2 linked regions of the Macaca fascicularis genome follow. The main gene of each other region encodes a partner of the protein of the gene in region 2 in a complex. Links are inferred from orthologs where the notes say so. Each region holds a gene or a part of one and is shown on either strand. Other genes may lie near its edges.

Evidence for each region.
Region 1: DIS3L (region 2) and EXOSC10 share a complex: the UniProt entries of both Homo sapiens proteins name them as parts of the RNA exosome complex. The link is inferred for Macaca fascicularis from reciprocal best matches to the Homo sapiens genes DIS3L and EXOSC10.

The regions. Positions count from the first base shown.
Region 1 is NC_088375.1:223,720,936-223,724,587, reverse strand, and holds part of EXOSC10 (exosome complex component 10), read right to left. Parts: intron 3,231-3,652; coding exon 3,119-3,230; intron 1,058-3,118; coding exon 1,007-1,057; intron 850-1,006; coding exon 771-849; intron 349-770; coding exon 242-348; intron 1-241. UniProt on the Homo sapiens protein: Catalytic component of the RNA exosome complex which has 3'->5' exoribonuclease activity and participates in a multitude of cellular RNA processing and degradation events.
Region 2 is NC_088381.1:42,977,785-42,981,436, reverse strand, and holds part of DIS3L (DIS3-like exonuclease 1), read right to left. Parts: intron 3,477-3,652; coding exon 3,315-3,476; intron 1,239-3,314; exon of another isoform or gene 1,165-1,238; coding exon of another isoform or gene 1,156-1,164; intron 1,046-1,155; coding exon 798-1,045; intron 447-797; exon of another isoform or gene 236-446; coding exon 143-235; intron 1-142. UniProt on the Homo sapiens protein: Catalytic component of the RNA exosome complex which has 3'->5' exoribonuclease activity and participates in a multitude of cellular RNA processing and degradation events.

The sequences.
Region 1 (3,652 bases), on a different chromosome or scaffold from region 2:
CTGAAGATTTCTTCACACACAGAGCTCAGAGAATCCTCCATCCACGACCCCAGACCACCTCCTCCAGAGTGGTCAGTGTCGCCTTGCTCATCGGTCTCTGTGCCTCTCCCAGCACTGCTGGGTTTTGCTCTCAGCGTTAGTCTTCGAGTGTAAGCAACACTCCAGGCAGACGACTTGCTGGATAAACCCAGTAAACCCCAGGGGGTCCTCATCACCTCAGTGAAGTTTCCGTGCTACTCACATTAAATAACGTGATGACAGCTCTGGCAATCAGGCATGTGGTACCCAGCAAGTTATCTTCTTTTTCTTCAGGGAAGAGGCTCGCCTGCTTCTGAACTGGCACAGATCCTAGAGGAGCAGAAGATAATAAGGTCAAAGCCTACAGAATTTTATTTTGTTGGTTTATTTTTTCTTTTTGAGATGGAGTTTTGCTGTAGTCCCCTAGGCTGGAGTGCAATGGCACAATCTTGGCTCACTGCAACCTCCGCCCCTTGGTTCAAGTAATTCTCCTGCCTCTGCCTCCTAAGTAGCTGGGATTACAGGCATGCGCCACCACGTCCAGCTAATTTTTGTATTTTTAGTAGAGATGGGGTTTCACCAAGTTGTCCAGGCTGGTCTCAAACTCCTGACCTCAGGTGATCCACCCGCCTCAGCCTTCCAATATGCTGGCATTACAGGCATAAGCCACGCCTGGCCAAGCATACAGAATTTGAGACAAGGTAGCTGTGCCCCAACCTCTTCAGGACAGTCAGGAGGGCTCTCAACTTTACCATTGGTTGGGATGATTGGATAGCCATCCGGAGGGGCATGGGAGCAGTCGTGAGGTCCAAAGAGAACATTCTCCAATCTCTGCATCAAAAAGACACCAGCAGGCTGGCATGTAAAACGTGCAAGCCAGCAGTAGCTTTCTGCCAGCTGTCAGCACAGGCCTCTGTCAGAGGTATACTTGCACTGGCCGTGACTGACGTCTTCCCTCCCGGGGAAGAAAATGGATCCGACACTCTACCTCGGCACTGGGCAGCGGTCCGCTCTTCTTCACTCCGGCTGCAACTTCAGACTAACAATAAAAACAAAGAGAATTGGGGAAAGTTGCCCAAACGCCTCAAGTCCAACCCCCAGTCCCCAGCGCTGACTGTGTTCCTTCCCCAGCCTGTTTCTCAAGAGCCCGGAGGTTTTCTTTCCTCTCTTCACTCTTTACAGTGCCTGGCACGATAATTATTTGGTGCTCAATAATTACTTGTAGAATGAAAGAATAAAGCTCTTTATCATGACTAAGCACAACAGGAAGGATTCCAAAGAGCTTGAAAAAGACTCTTCTCTAGTAATCAAGGTCTCTCTTTACTTGGACAAAGCACAAAGCTTACAAAACATTTTTAACATAAAAATTGCAAATGTGGGGCTAGCAGGTGGCTCATAACTGTAATTTCAGCACTTTGGGAGGCCAAGCTGGGAGGACGTCTTGAGCCCAGGGGTTCAAGACCAGTCTGCGAAACACAGCAAGACCCATCTCTATAAAAAATTAAAAAAAAACTGAGCTGGGTATAGTGGTGTGTGCCTGTGGTCCCAACACCACTTGAGCCTAGCAGATGGAGGCTACAGTGAGCCATGATTGTACCACTGCACTCCAGCCTGGGTGACAGAGCAAGACCCTGTCTCAAAACAACAATGACAAAAAAAACCAAAAGAAAACTGGATGCCATTGTCATCATTTGCTATGAAGTCCCATCAATCTTTTCCTCTGATGCTTCCTATACCTGTTTTTTCCCTTCCAGTCTGTGATTCCTCACTTATTTAGGGAGCTATCACTTCATATCTGGGCCACTGCCAGGCTCCCAAAACTAGCTCCCTCTGCTGAGGTCACCACTCCATCTCACTCCACCAGATTAACTGCCTTAGAACAGTGAATTGGCCCAGTTACCAGACAGTACTTGCTGCTGAATCATCAAAGCTAAGGTCATAAAATAAAAAGAATGAGTTTTCATATAAATAAAAAGATAGTTTTCAACTATCATAAAAAAAAAAAGCAGCTAAATTTATCAAGATACACACACTGGATTTCCCAAGCCCTATTATTTCCTTAGGGTTGTTTAGATGGATACCAGCTCATGAATCTAGGCAGCCACAAGGAATAAGATGCTAGCAGAAAAAACAGGTCTGCTAAGGCTGGGCGTGATGGCTCACGCCTGTAATCCCAGCACTGTGGGAGGCCCAGGTGGGCGGATCACCTGAGGTCAGGAGTTCAAGACCAGCCTGGCCAATATTGTGAAACCCCGCCTCTACTAAAAATACAAAATTAGCCGGGGGTGGTGCACGCCTGTAATCCCAGCAACTAGGGAGGCTGAGTCATGAGAATCGCTTGAACCCTGGAGGCAGTGAGCCGAGATCGTACCATTGCACCCCAGCCTGGGCGACAACAGTGAGACTCTGTCTCAAAAAAAAAGAAAAAAGAAAAAAGAAAAAAAGGCCAGGCGCGGTGGCTCACACCTGTAATCCCAGCACTTTGGGAGGCCAAGGTGAGTGGGTCACGAGGTGAAGAGATTGAGACCATCCTGGCTAACATGGTGAAACCCTGTCTCTATAAAAATACAAAAAAATTAGCCAGGCGTGGTGGCATGCACCCGTAGTCCCAGCTACTCAGGAGGATGAGGCAGGAGAATTGCTTGAACCCGGAAGGTGGAGGTTGCAGTGAGCCGAGATTGGGCCACTGCACTCCAGCCTGCAGACAGAGCGAGACTCTGTCTTAAAAAAGAAAAACAAAAAACAAAAACCAGGCTTGCTAAGTTAGGACCCTTCAGTAGAAAATCTTTTTTTTTTTTTTTGAGACAGAGTCTCACTCTGTTTCCCAGCCTAGAGTGCAGTGGTATGATCTCGGCTCACTGCAACCTCCGCCTCCCAGGTTCCAGCGACTCTCCTGCCTCAGCCTCCAGAGTAATTGGTATCACAGGTGCGCACCGCACACCCGGCGAATTTTTTGTATTTTTAGTAGACACGGAGTTTCACCATGTTGGCCAGGCTGGTTTCGAACTCCTGACTTGAAATGATCCATCCATCTCAGCCTCCCAAAGTGCTGGGACTACAGGCGTGAGCCACCAGGCCTGGCCACAGAAAAGCTTCTTACCTTGAGCAGGGGCATCTCTCGAGCCTGCTGGATTAAAAGGTGCATTTCGTTGATCTGCTGCCGCACAAGGGGTGGTACTGGGTTGCAGCAAGCTATGATGCCCTGAGGTTCCCTGAAGACAAGTAAGAACACACTCAGTTTGTCACTCAGAAATGCAGCCCTCAAACACTTCCAGATAAGAATAACGACTGGGTAAAGCCAGGGTAGCACACCTAAGCTGAAGCTACAGCTAGGTGACTAAGGAAACATTGATGTCAGGCCAGTCTAGGCCAACTTTTCCATGTGTTCTTTGCAACACCAAGCTTTAAGTGGATCCCTCTTGGAGCCTGACTCCTGCAATCAGGGAGAGCTGGAAGTAAGTGCCACAGCACTATGGATTCTCAATTCCGCAGGGGGCAACCAATGGGCTGTGGATTTTGATTCTTGCTTATACTTCAATCAAGATCACAAAACGTTTAAGATCATGAGCTGCTTGAATTTGGAAGAAAGTATAGATGAGAGAATCTGGGACGTTTTCTTCCCTTGCAAGTAGAT
Region 2 (3,652 bases):
AGGAGTGGTGTTGAGAGATCAGAGGGGAGACCCACAGCTGGGGTGGGGCAGTGCAGAGAAGAAAAATGAGGCCAGAAGCAGGCAGCATCGGGAGCCACAGAAGGGCCAGGACAAGCTTTGAAGACAAAAGCCATAAACTCACCTATCAACGCCTCCCAGAAGGGAACACAAATCAGCACTGAGGACGGAAGGCAGCATGTCATAGCGACGATCTGCTAGATAATAAGTGGTGGCCCTGTGAATGACACACACGCGGCACCGCGACCTTCAGCAGGGAGAAGCAGAACTGCTGACTGTGTGGGCCGCAGGGAGGTAAATGGCCAAAATCTCACTACAGATTCCCCAAGGTAGTTGCTGTTTCATAAAGTGCAGCAGACTGGGTAATAAAACTATTCCCATGGTCCCATTTTTCTAAGTGATACTGCTTTGGGCTGAATAGTCTTCCACTGATAAGAGAAAGAAAGAGCAAGTGACAGTGAATCTTTGTTGCATAAGAAAAATTGGAGTGTAATGATCCAGCATTTTTATAAAATAGTATATTACTACATGAAAATTTAACCCATTTCAGTTTAGTAGGAAACAATATGTGAAAAGGTTATGTTAAAAGGAAAGGTAAATTGATCAAGGTACTGTTTTTCTAAACGAAAATGGGGAGTGGACCTCAACTTTTTTTTTTTTTCCAGAAGGGACTTTCAGAATTACACAAACATGAGATCTTTGAACACCTGAAACTAGTACAGACACAAAATACACAGTCACATATATACAACCATAGAGCTGATTTCAAATAGCATTACCTTGTTCTAGCTTCAATATCAATATAAGAATTTGGTGCCACAAAGTGTGTTACATCTGCGATGTGGACCCCAAGTTCCAGGTTGCCATTATTTAAGGTTCTGATTGAGAGTGTGTCATCCACATCTTCACAACCTTTGGGGTCAATGCTGAATACGAGATGGCTTTTCCTCAAGTCTTTACGTTTTTGTTCCTCTTCACGACTCACTTTCCAGGGATTTTCTGGTGTGTTTACCGGCATCTCACACATCTGTATGAGAGGTCAAATATTCAGCAATTCATGCACCACACATTTCTGTAAAAATCCACTCACTGATATTCTCAATGCGACCACAGAGAAATTCATTCATTCTCAATTACCTTCTGCATCAACCTATGTCGGCTTCCTTCGATCAATAATTGTTTATTAGGTGCCTCAGATATCCGGGGTACTGTGCTGGGCTCTGGAAAGTCAGGAGTCAACAAGAAAGACAAAGTCCCATACCCCTGAGGACCCTTACATTTGGACAGAAAATGTCCCACAACTTCTACCAGTCTCTTTAGTTACAGAGGCTTGGAACAAGAGTACAACATGTAGCCCATTTTCAAATGATCCATTCGTTTAAATGTAGTCAAGCTTTAAATTTAAGACTTGAAAAAATAATCAACATGTTCCAAATATTAAAAGCTTACCCCTTAAAGATAATTTTATACAAGACCTATCTAGGGCATTTTCTCTCCATTATTATCTGTTTAAGCCATCAATTTGCAGTTAAGTAGGCTAAAAGGGAAGAGAAAATTCTAGTCCTATGATGTATAGCTCACACTTTATTTTATTGTAACATTTTCACTAAGAGCTGCCAAACAAGTCAACAAATAATTTCCAGAAACTAATGTTAAATATAAAAATTTAATGATGTAAAATATTCTACAATAGTTTACTATGATAGCTCCTATTCTGTGAAAAACTATAATGAAAATAAGAACACCCAGACACTCCTTATGGCAATGCAAATGGGTCCAAATTTTCTGGAGAACAATCTGCTAGTACATATAAGAAGTTATTTAAATCTTTTATACCCTTTGACTTGGTAATCTCACTTTAAGGATTACATTCCAAGAGAATGATCAAAAAGATATTAAAAAGCAGGCCAGGCGTGGTGGCTCAGGCCTGTAATCCCAGCACTTTGGGAGGTTGAGGTGGGCGGATCACGAGGTCAGGAGATCGAGACCATCCTGGTTAACACGGTGAAACCCCACCTCTACTAAAAATACAAAAAATTAGCCAGGTGTGGTGGTGTGCGCCTGTAGTCCCAGCTACTCGGGAGGCTGAGGCAGGAGAATTGCTTGAACCCGGGAGGCAGAGGTTGCAGTGAGCCGAGATCTTGCCACTGCACTCCAGCCTGGGTGACAGAGCAACACTCCATCTAAAAAAAAAAAAAAAGAAATTAAAAGCAGTGTTTATAAAAATGTTCGAAGTAACTTTTTTTTTTTTTTTTTTTTTTTTTGACGGAGCCTCACTCTATCGCCGGGGCTGGAGCACAGTGGCGCGATCTCGGCTCACTGCAACCTCCGCCTCCGGGGTTCAAGCAATTCTCCTGCCTCAGACTCTCGAGTAGCTGGGATTACAGGTGCCCACCTCTATGCCCAGCTAATTTTTTTGTGTGTTTTTAGTAGAGACAGGTTTTCATCATATTGGCCAGGCTGGTCTCAAACTCCTGACCTGGTGATTCACCCGCCTTGGCCTCCCAAAGTGCTGGGATTACAGGCGTGAGCCACCGCCCCCGACCTACATTTTTTTATAATACTGAAAAATTAAACAGCTGAATGCTCAACAATTGAGAAATGCTTAAGCAAACTAGGGTATGTCAATATACCATAATTTACCATTATCATTAAAATAAGTAGGCTATGTCAATATATAAAAATAATTTTAAGTGAAAGAAGCAGAACAGAAATCAGCGTGTGCACATGATGAATATAGTCATGCAAGAATAATACACAAGATTTATGAGGGTTTTAAAAGATCATGAAGTGATGGAAATAGCTGATGTTTTACATTTATGGGATTTTTGTTTTCTGTAAAGGTTCACAAAAACTGTTTCATCGTGAGCATAATTTTTGACCCATGGGTCGGAGATGTATGAATCCCAGGAATCCACCCCCTGCAGCTTTATGCAGCCTCTGGTTGAATGATTTAGACAGAGAGTGTGGAGCTCAGTTGGGTCTGTAACTAGGTGTCCTTGTAGTTGCTGGGGACGGATGTATACTGACTATAAGACACTGACATATCATTTTTAAGCCCAGTTGGAAAATATAAAAATTTGAGAGCTATGAGGCTATAGAAAACTAATTCTACACTTAAAGCTGACTTCAGTTTGGTCCAAATATAGAATAAAGAGGAGTGAGATTTTTCCATTATCTGTAGCTTAACACAGTGGGTTGTTACATAACACAGCGACTTTTCTTTCTTAATGATGAAACAACAACAAAAGAAAAAAGAAAATGTCACTAGACCAAAGGTTTCTGGAAAACCCGACCTGAGCTTCTGAGAAAGGGATGACTGAAATACTGTTTTCCACCAGGATGGTTGCAATTTCGCCTTCCAGATCTCCAATTCTTCCTAAAACACGCACAAAATGTCCATTTGGATACACAGATGTTGACTCCCAAGAATCGATGCGCACGACCACCCTGAAGTCCTGCACAAAAGGAAAAAATAAAACACAGCTGAGCACCAGGAGTTAAGTGGGTCAATTAGAGGCATCAAACAAGAGGCAAACAGCACTGGGTTCCAAAGAGAGTGGGCAGTTGCAAATAGTGGTGTACAGTACGTTTTTTTTTTTTGTTTTTCATTCTTTCTATTACTAAATTGCCA